Linked DNA regions of Daphnia pulex. The protein of the gene in region 3 purifies or fractionates together with the protein of the main gene of each other region. This does not show direct contact. Links are inferred from orthologs where the notes say so. Each region holds a gene or a part of one and is shown on either strand. Other genes may lie near its edges. The genes, in order: serine/threonine-protein phosphatase 6 regulatory ankyrin repeat subunit A-like, AP-1 complex subunit gamma-1-like and AP-2 complex subunit mu.

The links.
Region 1: the proteins of AP-2 complex subunit mu (region 3) and serine/threonine-protein phosphatase 6 regulatory ankyrin repeat subunit A-like purify together in Homo sapiens (affinity purification with mass spectrometry; 3 studies listed by BioGRID and IntAct, counting the BioPlex papers as one, with this or other methods). This does not show direct contact. The link is inferred for Daphnia pulex from reciprocal best matches to the Homo sapiens genes AP2M1 and ANKRD28.
Region 2: the proteins of AP-2 complex subunit mu (region 3) and AP-1 complex subunit gamma-1-like purify together in Homo sapiens (affinity purification with mass spectrometry; 3 studies listed by BioGRID and IntAct, counting the BioPlex papers as one, with this or other methods). This does not show direct contact. The link is inferred for Daphnia pulex from reciprocal best matches to the Homo sapiens genes AP2M1 and AP1G1.

Annotation. Positions count from the first base shown.
Region 1 is NC_060017.1:4,292,305-4,297,924, forward strand, and holds the start of serine/threonine-protein phosphatase 6 regulatory ankyrin repeat subunit A-like, read left to right. Parts: upstream 1-2,128; 5' UTR 2,129-2,295; coding exon 2,296-2,322; intron 2,323-2,500; exon of another isoform or gene 2,501-2,519; intron 2,520-2,590; coding exon 2,591-2,824; intron 2,825-2,899; coding exon 2,900-3,090; intron 3,091-3,152; coding exon 3,153-3,336; intron 3,337-3,441; coding exon 3,442-3,657; intron 3,658-3,720; coding exon 3,721-3,785; intron 3,786-3,853; coding exon 3,854-3,951; intron 3,952-4,263; coding exon 4,264-4,791; intron 4,792-4,860; coding exon 4,861-5,206; intron 5,207-5,272; coding exon 5,273-5,620. UniProt on the Homo sapiens protein: Regulatory subunit of protein phosphatase 6 (PP6) that may be involved in the recognition of phosphoprotein substrates. Involved in the PP6-mediated dephosphorylation of NFKBIE opposing its degradation in response to TNF-alpha.
Region 2 is NC_060026.1:1,550,489-1,556,117, forward strand, and holds the start of AP-1 complex subunit gamma-1-like, read left to right. Parts: upstream 1-2,251; 5' UTR 2,252-2,491; intron 2,492-2,727; 5' UTR 2,728-2,748; coding exon 2,749-2,794; intron 2,795-2,858; coding exon 2,859-3,192; intron 3,193-3,258; coding exon 3,259-3,497; intron 3,498-3,562; coding exon 3,563-3,639; intron 3,640-3,884; coding exon 3,885-3,896; intron 3,897-4,080; coding exon 4,081-4,176; intron 4,177-4,232; coding exon 4,233-4,559; intron 4,560-4,624; coding exon 4,625-5,259; intron 5,260-5,332; coding exon 5,333-5,618; intron 5,619-5,629. Other genes in the region: Krueppel-like factor 10, read left to right, coding at 1-61, 120-590, 663-935, 1,006-1,114, 1,184-1,284, 1,351-1,590. UniProt on the Homo sapiens protein: Subunit of clathrin-associated adaptor protein complex 1 that plays a role in protein sorting in the late-Golgi/trans-Golgi network (TGN) and/or endosomes.
Region 3 is NC_060028.1:9,467,828-9,473,745, reverse strand, and holds AP-2 complex subunit mu, read left to right. Parts: upstream 1-2,355; 5' UTR 2,356-2,514; intron 2,515-2,878; 5' UTR 2,879-2,905; coding exon 2,906-3,082; intron 3,083-3,152; coding exon 3,153-3,315; intron 3,316-3,385; coding exon 3,386-3,501; intron 3,502-3,573; coding exon 3,574-3,941; intron 3,942-4,006; coding exon 4,007-4,240; intron 4,241-4,314; coding exon 4,315-4,426; intron 4,427-4,488; coding exon 4,489-4,623; 3' UTR 4,624-5,245; downstream 5,246-5,918. Other genes in the region: polyhomeotic-proximal chromatin protein-like, read left to right, coding at 1-720, 826-1,042, 1,111-1,525, 1,586-1,819.

The DNA.
Region 1 (5,620 bases), on a different chromosome or scaffold from region 3:
CTCTTTTACCAACTTATTCCGCCGACTTGGTTCATTTGAAAAGATTTTTTTTCTTTTCAGTTTCTCATATTCTTTGATTTTTTAAAAGACTATACTTTGACGAGAAGTAAGATTTATTTTGCTAGATGAACGCTTGCAAACAGCAAGCCGATTCAGTTTTTAACCACAATTTACTTGTGTTTCACACCGTTTTATTTTATTTTTTAAATTTTACCATTAAGAGCGCAGTGGTTAATAGGATTATTAGTTTAGTTTTAAGTTATGCACACATTTATTATTTAACTTTGTTTCACAATATTTGTGCTAATTTATCGTTGGGTTAGGGGTGGCTATTTAATTATCAAATTTACATGTGCGTTTCAAATCATTGTATTCGTCCACTACATAAGCAAGTGCACACTGACGTGCAAAATATTATATAACTATTATATCTAATCAATTTTCTAATGAACCTGGGCCGCGGTGAGGTCATCGCACACTAATTGATTAGATAATAATAAGAAACGTACAGACAGAAAAAAATTCTGGGCCATTTTCGATAAATCCCCGATCGCACAGTCAATCCAGTAGAAACTAACCCTCCGAATAGCACTTGATTTATGCACTGCTTATTTCCTCCTAGTTTACAAGAGGCCTGAGAAGAGTCCTATAGTCGGTCCGAAGCGATGAAAATGAGCAACAAAATTGAGTTTTTATTTTGTTTCTCAATTTGTTGCATCTTAAATCACGTGGCAACAAAAGAAGCGTTTTTCTAGAATGTTGCTCTTTTAAAACACAAAATAATTAATTAACAAGACGATGAACTGTCCGGCTGCTGCCGAACTGGCATTCCCTGGTTTAAGAATTCTAAATAGTGGGCTAACTAGAACTTTGCCTCATCTCTCAACATGATGGACTATACCCTTAATTATATCCTCAACCGTTAAAAAATCAGACTAGTAACGATTAGATGACAGAGTTTTTTTTTTTAAATATTTTATATGATTTTTAAAGACCTTTTTACAAATTAAATGGCTGGGTAATAAAGAACTGAACTTGAATAGGGACATACGAGAAACAAAAAGAAACTATGAAACGTTATTATTATTGTTTTGATTAAAAATGAGTTTATTACACGTAGGAATACACAGTAACGCACTAACTATTTTTGTGAAACGACCGAAAGGAAAGGTTTCGAAAGATCGACTTATCAACTACAAGTTAATATTGAATTATAGACGTTAGTTTGCATAAGTTCGGTACTTTCCATTCTGCGTGATCCAACATACAAAATTATATCATGTGAAACATTTAACACAAATTAATTAACAAACAATTATGTAATATGTTTAATTGGACAGTACGTGTTGCACGCTTAATTGTTGTTAAAGTATTTATCCTGCGTTAGTCGTTTTTTAGTTCCTCAAACAGTCACACCTTTTCATTTTGTGTTTTCTCCTTCCTTTTAGTAGAACATATTTCGCGTGTCAGTTATTTTCCTTGAGTTGATATTTGCAAAGAAAATCTTTCTTAAAAATTATTTTTTTTTTGTATAATTTTTATATGGTTAACACTATTATTTCATAAAGACGTAGTTTTGCGCCAAGGAATTACACATCGGGAAATCGAATATTCCAAATCCTTAACGTAACATTTTAATTTTTTCAAAATATTAGGAACATTTGAATAGAGATGTCCTTGATTTATTGGCTGTAATATCTATGTCCACATATTTGAATTCCGTGTTGTATGTTATCACGAAATAAAAGCATCCGAAAAGCAACGGATTATTATCACTCTCCTTTCATTTAAATATTACGAAGAATTGCCGTGCCCGGCCGGTCCCTCTTGGGTTAGTCTAGATTATATCTTTCTAATTAATGAAGGGATAAAAGCCTGGTCCGAGTAGCGAACACAAAAACAAATCGATGTCAAATCAAATCAAACTTGATGACAGTTTGGAGTTTGAACTTGTCATTTTAGCACACCTGACGTCTGCTAGGAACCTGGTCTACACGCTGCATGGCAAGTTCCAGAGATGGCGCTGGCGACTGGCTGGTTTGAAAATTTGAAGGAAGAAATTCAAAGAGACCAGATTTTTCCAAACTAGCCCCTCCCCTTGGATAGACACGTGACCATCCCACGTATATACGTATCATACTGCTGTGCTTTGCTCATGACACCACGGTGGTGCATGGTGGCGCACGACATAACAAAACCATTTAGTTCTTCCGGTTCTTCCTTCATGTGGTTTTGTTACTCATGTAAATTCCTTTCTCAATTTTTTTCGTGAACGAGACCGGAAAGTTGTTTGAAATGGTTATCTTAGATCTTAATAATGAAGTGAGTTTGCTTACAGACAGAATTGTGTCAATAATTAACAGAAATCGTGCGATTAAAGTATTCAATATTCACAAACAAAGTATTTTGATTTTACTTTGTTTTCAATTTTTCAAAATGCATCAAACTGTTTCAGTTTTAACGTTGTGACGCAAGTACCAGTGTCTCGACGGTTGAGATGAAATCGCTTTACAACTTAAGTGACACTAATTATGTTGCTATGTTAAAATTATTAGTTAAATATGACTGACGTAAATTTGCATTTTTGCAGCCTCTTCTTGTTCAAGCAATTTTCAAAGGAGATTTCAACGAAATAAAAAATCTATTGAAGGAAAATGTTGACATCAATTATCAAGATGAAGAAAAACGCAGTCCGTTGCATGCTGCTGCATTCAAAGGTGATGCCAACATCACAGACTTTTTAATACAAAAGGGAGCAAGAATAAATATCAAAGATTCCAAGTGGCTTACACCTTTACATAGAGCTTGCAAATCAGGAAATGAGGTAACAAAATAATGATTTGATGATAAATGTTTATAGTTTTCTCTAGTAGTTACACATATTTGGTTTATTTTGCAGGATGCAGTTAATGTTTTGCTGAAGTATAATGCTGATACCAATGCTCGTGATAAAAACTGGCAGACTCCTTTACATGTGGCCAGCTGTAATAATGCTTACAAATGTGCTGAAGCCCTACTCGCTTCATCTCCTACTGTAAATGTTTCTGACAGAACAGGTCGTACAGCACTGCATCATGCTTCTTTTAATGGGTGAGATTTGTGATCTCTGTGATGTGTTTAGTTTCCCTAACTGATTTTGTTCATTTTTCTAGTCACTGTGATTTGGTAGAACTTTTGATTGAGCATGGAGCCTCGGTGAATGCGTTCGACAAAAGAGATAGACGCGCACTACATTGGGCATCTTACATGGGTCATGAGTCCGTCGTGAAAATCTTACTGCAGAATGGAGCTGAAGTAAATATACGAGATAAAGACTTGTATTCGCCATTGCACGCGGTAATTTCCCAATAACATTTGTCTTACCATGTTTTACCACTAACTCTAAGTTCCGCCAAATAATTATGAGAATTCACGGAAATAACACCCATTAATTTGAATTAGGCTGCTGCTAGTGGACAAGTTTTTGTGGTGCAACAACTCCTAGAAGCGGGGGCCGATTTTAATGCCAGTAATTCATTCGGTAACACTCCGCTTCATACAGCTTGTCTTAACGGACATGAATTGGTCTGTCAGGATCTCATAGCATCAGGAACTTCTGTCAGTGCTGTAAATTTAGCAGGGCAGACTCCAATTCATGTATCTGCTGCTGCGACTCATGTAAGCCGAAAAATCACTTTAGATGAATACAATTTACGTTTGATTTTGAACATTCTTACATAGGGAGAACGTTGCTTGGGCCTTCTCATAGAACGAGATGCGAATATAAATTTTCAAGCTAAAGACGGGTATTAACTTATCACTTTGTTAACAGCATGGAAACATAAATCACAATGTAAAATTCATTTGATTTTAGGCGCACCCCTTTACACATGACCGCAATTCACGGGCGATTTATGAGAGCACAAATGCTTTTGGATCGAGGAGCGCTAGTTGATATCGGAGACAAAGAAGGTTGCACTATCTTTCTTTTTTAACTATTCAATCATCTTAATATTTTTTAGCTTGTCATGAGTTGACACATATTTTTATATATTCATTAATTACTCACTCGACATAGTTTTTAAATGGATATAGACAAGCTACAGCTAGGTATTCTAAGCAATCGGTTTACGCTAATCCATTAGAAATTTGTGCTATAATTCTAGTGATAAAGTAATTTGTTATTTGTTGACTATTTTCTCATTAGATATTAATTCGCTGGTCAAAACCATCGGAATAAAAACACCTCGTATTTATTATGGTTATTTTTGGTTTCCTTTTAAGGTTGCACTGCCCTACACATTGCAGCTGCACACGGGCACGAACTATTGATTGGCGTGCTTCTCAACGTCGGGGCTGATCCTAGCCGAAAAGGTCGTAGTGGCATGACTCCAATGCACTTAGCAGCCCTCAGCGGCTATGTAGAATGTTGTCGAAAGCTCCTTCAAGTCCGTGGTGAATTAGATGCTCAAGATGATTGCGGAAGAACATGCCTTCATCTGTGTGCTTTTAAAGGAAACGCTGAATGCCTTGATTTACTTATCAGTAGTGGAGCTGATTTTAATTTGATCGACTCCTTTGGTCGGATTCCATTGCATTATGCTGCAAGTCAAGCTCATTTCCAATGCGTCTATACTTTAGTCAGTGTGGGGTCCAGTGTAAATTTAACAGATTCAACCGGTGCAACTGCCCTCCATTACGCCGCTGCTATGGACACCGACGGCAAGTGTGTAGAATATTTACTGAAACGCAAAGCAGACGTCTCCGCTTTGGACAAGCAAGGCTATTCGGTACTTCACTACGCTGCGGCAGGTTTGCATTCCCAGAGTTGTTCGGAAAAATAACAAATGATGTTTACTATTTTTTTTTTATTCTACATAGGTGGACAGCATGGAGCCTTACATGTGCTGTTGAAACACTTTGTGATACCCAATAGCAACGGTCACACCGATGAATCAATGAACGTCTCCCCCCTTCATTTAGCCGCTTATAAAGGTCACAAAGGAGGCGTAACGTCTCTGGCAGCCATACATCCCGATGTAAATATCACTGATTCCAGCGGACGGACTGCACTGGATCTCTCTGCTCAATTTGGCCACATCGAATGTATAAATGCATTAATTGAACACGGTGCTCAACCCGTTGCCCAGCCGAAAACTCTGTTAACTGCAGTTCACAGAGCAGCAGCCAACGGACATTCCTTGTGCCTCAAACAATTGCTACATACGTAACAGCAATCAAAGATTTCATGTGTTTTTAGTTTATTTGATCAAGTTTCTAATTCAAACGATAGGCATATGCAGCTTGTGGATGTGCGCGATTCCAAAAAGCGAACGCCATTAATGCTCGCCGTACAAAACGAAAACGAAGGACGAAAAGCGTGTACCGACATCCTGCTGAGTTACACTTCTCAAGTGGATCTTTTTGATAACAACGGTCGAACGGCTTTACACTACGCTTCATGTCGAGGATTCGAAGATTGTGTCTCCTCGTTATTAGATGCTAAAGCCTCGCCGTATCAAAAGGATTTCCTAGGGAAAACTCCGTTTCACCTAGCGGCAGCCATGGGACATGTTTATGTGCTCAAACAGCTTATACAACAAGGCGCCGATTCTTTAGGTGATGTGAAACTACTAGACCA
Region 2 (5,629 bases), on a different chromosome or scaffold from region 3:
TGAATCGCAAGACCAATGGGCTTCCAGCGATGATTCTAGCGATCATCTTCAATCCGCCAAGGTATATTTTAATTAATTTTATTTGAAGTAATGTTGACTAATAATTATTAATAAAACAGAGATTGATGGCTTGTACGCCACCGAGAACTCCGAGTCCTACAAGTCCAGGCAGCGTCACTTCGATGCCCGTTTCGGTCATCATGATTGGCAAAAAGGACGGAACTGCCGAGCCTGTCCAGCAGCAGCAACAGCAGCAGCAACAAGAATTTAATCACGAAGAGGCTCAAGATAACAAGGAGAAGCTGATGGGCGGTCCTGCATTGCCAGGCCGTCAAATAATATTCGTCGAAAACAAAAACACCAACCGGCATTTACGCAACGCTCATTTCGGAACCGAACAGATCTTTGTAGCCAACAAAGACACTAACCGGGAAGCACGGGAAATCACCAATCACAAGCCACCACCGAATAATAATAATAATAATAATAATAATGAAAATAATAATGAAAATAGTAGTGATGTATTTGTGCAGCAATTTTCTGTATCTCGCTTTGTACCTGAAATGACTATGCCGGCAACAACTTCTCAGGTAACACCAAAAAATTTAATTTGATTAGATAAGAGAGAATTTTTTTAACATTTTCGATTTTTTGATTGATAGGCGATCCCGATAAAATCGCCAGTGGCCATTGCTCCCAAATTGATGCTGAATAGTGCGGCTTTGGGTAATTGTAATGTAATCAATGGATCGTCAGCAACTCGAGTGATCCCGGTCGTGCCGTTGGGGGCAGCAACCGGTGCCGATATTGGCTCGATGGGCGCCAATGGCGCTACTCTTTTCCTGGCACCCTGTGATAACAACGGACAAATAACGCATTTTGTTTTGACTACGGCCGGTATCCCATCCATGACCCTCATCGCTCCAAACAAGATGGTATATACCATTTGATTACGATTTTTCAAACTCGGTCATGTAAAACTAAAATCGAATGTTGGAATTCCAGGAAAGGGAGGTGGATAAACGTCGGCGTATTTATGAATGCCAATTCGAAGGATGTGGCAAAAACTATTTTAAATCATCTCATTTGAAGGCTCACATGAGGACTCATACTGGTAGGTTATAATTATTTAAAAAGGTTTCTCACAAATTTTTTATTCAAATTTTTTCCCTAATCGACTTAGGTGAGAAACCATTCGTCTGCAGCTGGGATGGATGTGATCGCCGTTTCTCGCGTTCAGACGAACTGTCCCGTCACAAACGCACTCACACTGGCGAAAAAAAGGTATAATTTCTAATTTTTGTTTTGTAAAACAATTTGAATTCTTTACAATTGAATTTTTAAAAACAGTTTAGCTGCCCAGTTTGCCAACGCCGTTTCATGCGCTCTGACCACTTGACCAAGCACGTCCGTCGTCATGCTCGCGAGCAAAAACCAATGGCTTGGCAGCTGGCCACTCGCAAACTAGCCTCAGCTAGTTCTTCTACTGCTGTTACTGCTCCTACTACTACTGCCGGCCCTGCTGTGGCTTCTCAATTGATCCCGGCGCAGATTATCCTCTCCGCCTCAACTGCCATTCCCTCAATTTAAGAAAAGAAAAAATAAGCAAAATGATGATGAAATGTTTATTATTTTTCGAATCCTTTTTTTTGTTTTTACTTTGGGGGGTTAGTAGTTACATATGTTTATTTGTTTTTAAAAGCAGACAAAAAGGGCGGGACCTCTGTAGGACACAGTATATATACATCAGCTGTGTGTCTACGGTCGGTCAGTAGGTTATCTCTTCATAACAGCAGCAGCAGGGGGAAGGGGGCGGATATATTTTGTAATGTCCTCTTGTTTTATTTCATTTTTCTTGTTTCAGTTGTCGATGCAACGGCGACACAAATTTCTGTCCCGACCATCGACACGACACATTTTGTTGTGTTATTTGTTAAAACGATTCGTTCGAGCCGTCTAGAGCTTGTTAATTATTTTTATTCACACACACACACACACAAATGATTTATGATAACTATCGAGCTAAATAATAATCGTGTTTCGAACGAATGGACATAATAAATTACGATATTGATCAAGAATATTACGGGTCTAGAATATGAATACAATTAAATAACATTATAAAAAAAAAGCTTTTCTTTTTAACAACACAATGTCGGGAATCAATCGACGTATATATAAGAAAACATAAGAAAACGTACACCCACCGACAACCGCCCCCATTTCCCGACCGGTCTGAATTTTGTTTATTCGGCAATGCTCCACGTCACCTGGGCTGAAAAAGATGGTGGTCGTCGTGTTAGTTTATGACAAATTTTTTAACCGTGCGTGAACTATATACTAGAGCACTCTCTTTAATATATATATATATTTACAATTTACTTTTGTTTGTTGTGCGTGAATCTTTCTCGAAGGCGGCTACGAGTTTTGTTGTTAATCAAAACTCTTTGTTTCTCGAATTTTTGAAAAAAAGTTACCGTGTAGCCATTCGGTGAGTGTTTTATAGACTTGACATGGTTTTTTTTTCTTCTCTCTTTTTCACGAACGATTTGTAAACTGTTAGGCTGTCCATCTGTATTCTAACAAGTGGGTCATTAAGGGAAAACTAAATTATTTTCAAGTTGTAGTTGACCTCAACCTATTGGGAATTTTGTTTGATAGTTTTGGGTAGCATATTAAAACTAAACAACATAAGATTTGACATTGATTGTGTGCTCGACAATACAGGGCTGAACAACACCCACTACAATGGCTAATGCTATTAAGCAAGTCATCAATGAGGTGGCTGAAAAAGGTATGATAAGTCAAAGCATTTATCTTGTATGATGTAATACCCATTTTTGATTTCTATTATTCAGTTAAAATGCCCTCCACGCCCACTCGTCTGAGGGATTTGATACGCCAGATTCGTGCTGCCAGGACAGCTGCAGAGGAGCGGGCTGTGGTGAACAAAGAATGTGCCTACATTAGGGCATCATTCAGGGAAGAGGATTCACAGTGGAGATGTCGGAATGTTGCCAAGCTGCTCTACATACACATGCTTGGCTACCCAGCTCATTTCGGTCAACTAGAGTGTCTGAACCTCATTGCCTCACCCAGGTTCACCGATAAACGAATTGGATATCTTGGGGCAATGCTTTTGCTGGATGAACGCCAAGATATTCATGTCCTCATCACCAACTCCTTGAAGAAGTATGTCTCTGTTCATATTCAATTTCTCTAATGAGATTACCTTTGTCAACCTGTTTTCTACTCTAGTGATTTAAACAACCCCGTCCAGTTTATCGTTGGTTTGGCCCTGTGCACCTTGGGTGCCATTGCGTCGCCTGAAATGTCACGCGATTTGGCCTCTGAAGTTGAGCGGTTGCTCAAGTCCACCAACGCCTACTTAAGGAAGAAGGCGGCCTTGTGTGCTTTCCGAATTATCGGCAAAGTGCCAGAGCTCATGGAAATGTTTTTACCCGCCACAAGATCACTCATCTCAGATAAAAATCACGGTATTCACTCTTGAACATTGTACATGTCTCTTTTACTGGTACTAAAAATTATTTGATGGAATTAGGCGTTTTAATTACGGGAGTCACACTAATCATCGAAATGTGCGAACGGAGTCCAGACACTTTGATTCACTTCAAAAAGGTACACGTCGGATTTTAAAAAATCCTTTTCTGAACGAATTTCTATCGTTTATTTATGCAATCCTCGTTATTTTTAACAAATTATTAATCAATCCACATCCTTTAATTAATCAAATCGTGAAGAAAAACTGAATGTTAATACGTTCCCGTTTGTTTTTTTTGTTTTGTTTCTGTTTCCTTGTTGCGGGATCATCTCTCTCTCTCCCCCCTACGTTGACAAAAACAAAATTTCTTTGCTTTACTTAGGAGCATCGCGAGGTAAAGCATCTTTCGATGTTGTTCGATCCTCTGCACACTCTTGCAATGCACCCTTTTGTTTGTCTGTGTCTGTTTTGTTTGTTTGGGTCGCGTTTTTCGGTGTTTTAATTGGCGTCGTCTGGGCGCAGTTTTAACGATTCTAATTGTTATCTTTTATTTTGATCGTTCTCTCCGCAAATACCAGGTGGTCCCCAGTTTAGTGCGTATTCTCAAGAATTTGATCATGGCAGGTTATTCACCAGAGCATGATGTTTCTGGTGTGAGCGACCCCTTTCTCCAGGTACAATTTTTTACGACTAGATTGTCTTTCTGCAATTAATAAATTCTTGAACACAGGTGAAAATTTTGCGGTTGTTGCGAGTCCTGGGCCATAACGACGCCGAAGCTTCTGAAGCGATGAACGACATTTTGGCGCAGGTGGCCACCAATACGGAGACGTCGAAGAATGTCGGCAACGCCATTCTGTATGAAACGGTGCTTTCGATCATGCACATCAAGTCGGAGAGTGGCTTACGTGTCCTGGCCGTCAACATTCTCGGCCGCTTTCTGCTCAATAGCGACAAGAATATTCGATACGTGGCGCTCAACACGCTGTTGCGCACCGTTCACGCAGACAATTCGGCCGTCCAGCGACATCGTGCCACTATACTCGAGTGCCTTAAGGTTTTATCAAATTCTAAACTACACCAGTGGATTTGAATTTTAAATGAATCTTTGGAATTAATTAGGATCCCGATGTATCCATCAAGAGGAGGGCGCTGGAATTGAGTTTTGCGCTCATCAACGGATCCAACATCCGAGCAATGATGAAGGAGCTGTTGGCTTTTTTGGAGAAATCCGACGCCGAATTCAAGGCCCAGTGTTCGTCTGGAATTGTCAGCGCTACTGAAAGATTCTCACCCAACCGGCGGTGGCATGTCGATACACTGCTGAGAGTTTTGATTGCCGCTGGCAACTTTCTGCGAGACGACGTCGTTTCTAACACGATCCAAATCATTTCGGAGAGCGCCTCGCTCCAGGGCTACGCAGTCGGTCAGTTGTGGAGAGCCGTTAGCTGCTCTTCGGGCTCTTTACAGCACGACGGACAGCCGGGCGATTTAGACTTGCAAGGAGCTACGCTGCCCATCTCTGAACGCCAGCCTCTGGCTCAAGTCGCTTCGTGGTGCCTGGGCGAGTACGGCGACAGTCTCATCAATGGACACACCAACGCCAGCGAACAGGAAGAACCGGTCGTTGCCGGTGAGGACGAAGTGGTTGATTTCATTCAGGGCATTCTCTCGTCGAGCCAAAGTACCATCGTTACCAAGCAATATGCTTTGACGGCCCTCACCAAGCTCAGTACACGTTTCAGCGTCACTGTCGGGTAATTATATCTAATCAGTTGATTAAGAGAGTCGTAAACCAACTAATCTCGATTGTTTGTTTTGCATTCGTAGTCGTATCGAAGATATCGTGACCAGTTTCGGCACTCATTTGAATGTTGAGCTGCAGCAGCGCGGTATCGAGTACGCCCAGCTATTTACCAAGCACGTAGCACTACGTCCGGCCATCATGGAGCGCATACCGCCCATGGAACACAAGACATCACACCAGGGACTGACGAACGGAAGTTCCGGAGGAAACGGAGTCAGCAATGGCGACGATGACATGTTAATGGATGATTTGAATTCTTTCACGACTACCAGCATCACAAGTCATTCGGCACCGGCCACTAAAGATTCGGTAAATTACAT
Region 3 (5,918 bases):
GACAATTAAACATTCATATGCCAATGTCCAGCAGTCAATCGAATACGACTTGCTTCATTACAAATCCGGCCGTGACCTCATCAGCTCGAATGCCCACTCCATTAGGTGGCGGATTGATTACCGTTGGACCGGCTGCGCCATTATCCGCCATGGCCAATATGACGCACGCAGTACCTCCATCTTCGTCGCCAATCACCATTTCCACTCAGGGACCACGAATGGCTATGTCGACTTTACAGCCAGTAACAGTTACTGTCTCAGCTTCCCCAGCACCTCAATTTCCTCTACCTTCTCCGGCTCGGACACAGCCATCAACAACACCGCTGCCCAGTACTACCGAAAAAGTAGAAGAGCCGAAACCATCTCCTCGCAATGCAGTAACCGACTCTCAAACCCCTTCGGCCCCTACGACAACAACTCCTGCTGTAGAGGAACCGTCTACCGAAAAGAAAGAAACGCCTCAGATGAACGGAATAGGAGGAAATCAAGGAGATCATCACATGGTTAGTCATTCGCCAGCTATCCGCGAGAAAAAAGACCCCAATTTGCCTCAAGCAGTTGTACGGCCTCAGATATTGACCCACGTATTGGGTGACTTTGTGATCCAAGAGTCATCGGAACCTTTCCCAGTCGGCCGTTTCCATCCGAATGAATCTCTGACGCGCTGCAACGGACAACGGAATCAAGATCACAGTTTCAAATTGGATGGAGAACCTCCGAGTAAGATTATTTTTTCAAATAATTGATGTTTTGTTTGATTGCATGTATTTAGTTTTGCCAAAGTTTGGTTTACTCATGACCCAAATTCCCCCCTCCCTTAAACAGAGAAAAAATTACATATGGAACAACCTACAGTGACCCATCAATCTCCACCTCTGGCACCCCCGCCTGCGCCGCCTACCACCACAACAACTAACGATCTTCAGCAGATGTCGACGCCTAAAGGAGCTACCATGGCCACATGCGAGGGATGTGGAAAAATGGATTTCATTTCCAAATTTCGTCGTTCAAAACGCTTTTGTTCCACAGCCTGCTCGAAAAAGTATGTCATTAACCCATTTATCTTTTGACTCTTTTAATTTTAACCGTGTTTGTTTACTTTTGAAATAGGTCTAACATAAATGCTTCGCCAGCAGTTGGACCCGTTCAGCCGAATCAACAGCAGCAGCAGCAGCAGGAAACTGTCTCGACAACGACTTGTGTCAACGGTCAGGGAGTAAAAGCAGCCGTTGGCGGTGGTGGTGGGCTACTGACCACTGCGACGTCAACCACTCACTCACCCGCTGCTGCTTCAACAACAGCCGAAGCCAACAACAAATTGGCTTCTCCAACGGCCGTGACAATTCCTCAGGGCCCAACTCCTCCAACGAGCTTTGCTCCCTCTGGAGATAAAGAAGATATCAGCTTGGATGCAGAGTTGTGTGCTCTGGCTGCTCAGCAATTGCGTTCTCCCACAGCCTCACTATCTCAAACACCAACTCACCAGCTCAAACCTGAGCCGAAAACTAATCCAGCCAAGTGGAGTGTAAGTTATTTATTGTTACGACTTAGATTGCACTGATAATTAAGACTTCTATTCATTCAGGTTACCGAGGTCGCGGATTTCGTGCGAAGTTTAACTGGATGTGCAGATTATGCCGAAGATTTCGCATTGCAGGAAATTGATGGCCAAGCGCTCATGTTATTGAAAGCCGATCATTTGATGTCTGCCATGTCGATGAAACTTGGGCCGGCATTGAAGATTTGCGCCAAGATTGATGCTATGCGTGGTGCATCCTCCTCTGAGGGCGGTAATAGCAATCCACAAAACGGAAATTAATGTGGGAAAAGTTCAATCCCCCATTTTTGTGTTGTTCTCCACCAGAAATCGATACGTGTTATGTTTGCCTCATTCAACTGTAATTTGACTCATTGTACTTTTCTGTCTATAGTTTGTTTATGGTTCACGATATGTTTCTTCGTCATTTCTCTCTACGTATTTTGCTTTGGTTATTCACCTTCATTACAGTAATTCTCATTTCGTATGACACATAGATCGTCAGTGAACAAATATATATATATAGATCATTCATACAAAATGTAATGCTCGGTGTAACAAAAGGCATTTAGGACAAAAATGCCATATAACCGCATATAACATTTTCGGAACGAAGAATTTTCGTTTTCAGTGTAATAAATTGACATTGTAATAATAATTTAAATATACATAAAAATCCATTGAATCAAACGTATTTCGTATTATTTTTAATGGTATATTTTTAAAAAATGCTTGAATCAGTCGAATTCTTGAAAATGATTTTAACCTTGAAAGTTCTACTTCCACCCGAGTATTTCAAATGTGGCGCTCCGAGCGCTTTACGGACTTCAGCTGTTTGGCCTGTGATATGGATTGACTTTCTTTCTTGTTAGCACTGTGTTACTGTCATTTCACTCTGACAGTACAAGTCTGCTATCAAACCAAATTGAATACTTATCCACAGTGGGAGAAATTGGGCTGGTAACAGTTACTTTGAGGTAAGAGGTTATGTTTTTTTCGTTGGTGTGGTTTTGAATTATGATGTTTAAAGCGACACAAGACCGTGATCTTCAGGAACGGTGGTTGTGTGTTGGGTAATGCGAAAGTTTATTGGTAGGCGTTGCTCGATATATCAGCTAGTCTACCGGTATTGAGACGGGATATCCTGTGAAGGCAATCAAAAGAACTCGTGCATGCATGGCAAAAAGATAATTCAACATTTCAACAAAAAGTTGCATAGCTTCATTTGCATACTCTAGTTCACAGAGCAAACCATCTACCAAAGAGTTCTTATGGACTTGTATACATGCTAAATGTCATTCTGCACGTTTGAAAAAAAAGTGTTATTTTCTTCATTCATAGGTTTATCACAAAGCTTCAAGAGTCAAGATGATTGGAGGCCTTTTCATCTACAATCACAAAGGAGAGGTCCTAATATCACGTGTGTACCGTGATGACATTGGCAGAAATGCAGTTGATGCTTTCCGAGTAAATGTCATCCATGCTAGGCAGCAAGTCAGATCACCTGTTACAAACATTGCCAGAACCTCCTTCTTCCATGTTAAGGTATTTTCTGATTTGCCATTTTGAAATGTTTTAATGTTCTCAGGATCAATAATCCTTTACCTTTTTTTAGCGTGCTAATATTTGGGTGGCAGCTGTCACCAAACAAAATGTCAATGCCTCTATGGTTTTCGAGTTTCTCTTGAAGGTCACTGACTGCATGCAGTCATACTTTGGTAAGGTATCAGAGGAAAACATCAAGAACAATTTTGTCCTCATTTACGAACTTTTGGATGGTATGTTGGGAAGCAAACACAATTTATTTGTTTGTGTGTTGTTCCTTATCCAATTTATTCATTCTATCAGAGATTCTTGATTTTGGCTATCCCCAAAATACCGACACGGGAGTGTTGAAGACGTTTATTACTCAGCAAGGTATTCGCACGCAAACCAAAGAAGAGCAGGCCCAGATTACCTCTCAGGTATAGATTCGCTCAAACAATTAATGCTCAATGATTGTTTTTAAAATATAATCATGTGGTTATGATTTCCAGGTGACAGGCCAAATCGGCTGGCGACGCGAAGGCATCAAGTACCGGCGAAACGAACTCTTCCTTGACGTATTGGAATACGTCAACCTTCTAATGTCGCCGCAGGGTCAAGTACTTTCAGCTCACGTGGCTGGCAAAGTAGTGATGAAATCCTACTTGTCAGGCATGCCCGAATGCAAGTTTGGAATCAACGATAAGATTATCATGGAGGCTAAGGGTAAACCTACTGCGGATGAATCCGCTGCTCGCACTGGCAAGACAGCTATTGTGATTGACGACTGTCAATTTCACCAGTGTGTCAAGTTGTCTAAATTCGAAACGGAGCATTCGATTAGCTTTATTCCCCCTGACGGAGAGTTTGAACTCATGAGGTTAGTCTGTTCTCCTTTGGTATATACATTGAATTTATGCTAACAAGTGTTATTTTCGATTGCAGGTACCGAACGACCAAGGACATTTCGTTACCTTTCCGAGTTATACCGTTGGTGCGCGAAGTGGGCCGGACAAAGATGGAAGTCAAAGTGGTTGTCAAGTCTAACTTCAAACCTTCGCTCCTGGCACAGAAAATCGAGATACGCATTCCAACGCCTCTCAATACATCGGGCGTTCAACTTTTGTGCATGAAAGGCAAAGCCAAGTACAAAGCTTCTGAGAACGCCATCGTTTGGAAGTCAGTTGCAAACTTTTCTTTAGATCAAACATTAGAGCTGTGTTGTTAAACTTGTGTGGTGTTGATGTTGACAGGATCAAACGGATGGGAGGTATGAAGGAATCACAACTTTCAGCTGAAATTGAGCTTTTGCAAACGGACACGAAAAAGAAGTGGACTCGACCCCCCATTTCCATGAACTTTGAGGTATTTTCGAGGATGATGTGTGTCGTGCATATCGATTGCTCTAATTTGGATTTCTATCATAGGTTCCGTTTGCACCATCGGGCTTTAAAGTTCGATATTTGAAAGTCTTTGAACCCAAGTTGAACTATTCTGATCACGACGTCATCAAATGGGTTCGCTACATCGGACGCAGCGGCCTCTACGAAACGCGTTGCTGAAGAAACGGACGATTCATTTTCGTTGGAAGATGAAGAAACTCGTCTCCAATTCTATTTCTCCTCTTCATGATTAACCCATCACTTACTACTCGTCCGAAAGAAGAAAAAAAAAGAAGAAAGATCTTTGTTAGTCTGTCTTATACTTAGGTCGATGTCGTTGTTGCATCTGCTGAGCGGTGCGAGAGAGTGGATGAATCCTGCTAATGGGAAAAGTAGCTCTGTCTGTTAAGTTTCTTTCATCCAGGATCAAAATTCTGTTTAGTTTAATATTCAAAAGCTTGTACTTCTCTCATCTACTTCTTTTCTCTTCCTTTTATTTTTTTTCATCCGTGTTGAGTGTTGAGTACGTCGTCGGAATTATTTTTCCTTCCCATCTATATCATTGTTAGTGCGCAGAGAGCGAAATTAACCCCCTTCTCCCCCTACCCCCAAAAAAAGAAAAAAAATATCCACAGAATAGTCGTCTTGACTGGATTGCGTTGTTACTGCTTGGATTAGCAGTTCGCGTTCTCTCTCTCTCTTTTTCTCTCTCTGTTTGTGCGCGTGATTTATATGTTACATGTTTTGATTTACCCAGTTTTTTTTTGTGTCTGTGCACATTACATTAGGGATGAGTAACTGAGCCTCCACCGTGGCTGTCACTTGAGTTGCTTGTTTTCTATCCTCTTCGTTTGTGAAGGGTGAGCCAGAAGCGAAATGTTGGTAGGGAAAAAAGGGAGAGCTAGAGACAGTCGGCGGGCAAGAAGTTGTTAACCCAAAAAGATATGAGCGTGATGCCATGTCGGACCCCATGTCCATGTTACCCATAAATGGTGACGAATCGAGATCTGCCTGATATAACTTTTATTTCCGAGAGTTTTTTTATATAGTAGAGTTGCTCAACTTTTGGTACGACACGAATGGAATAATTTTCACCTCCCTCGCTCCGCTGGAAACTAAAAGAAGGAAAAGAGAAAGAATTCAATCATCCCCAATCGTTCATTCATGCATGCTTCGTACGCGCTTCTTCTTGTGTTCGTTTTTCCGGGTCGACCGGGGAAAATACGCTCCATCGATCCTGCTGTCGAACTGGGAACATGGTTCCTTTACTTCCACAAATCCGTTTTTAGACTTGTATATACCGAGAAGTGAAAAGTCCATGTCATTGAAAATGGCTGAAAGATATGACTAAATTGAAGAACAAAAAAAAAAGGAAACGTCAAGACAAGGATAGAATTCTGAATCTACTACTATTGATTTACTCTGTCTGTCGTTGGTGATTGCGTCGTTGGCCGCTAGTTCCTGTTTTAGGCGCT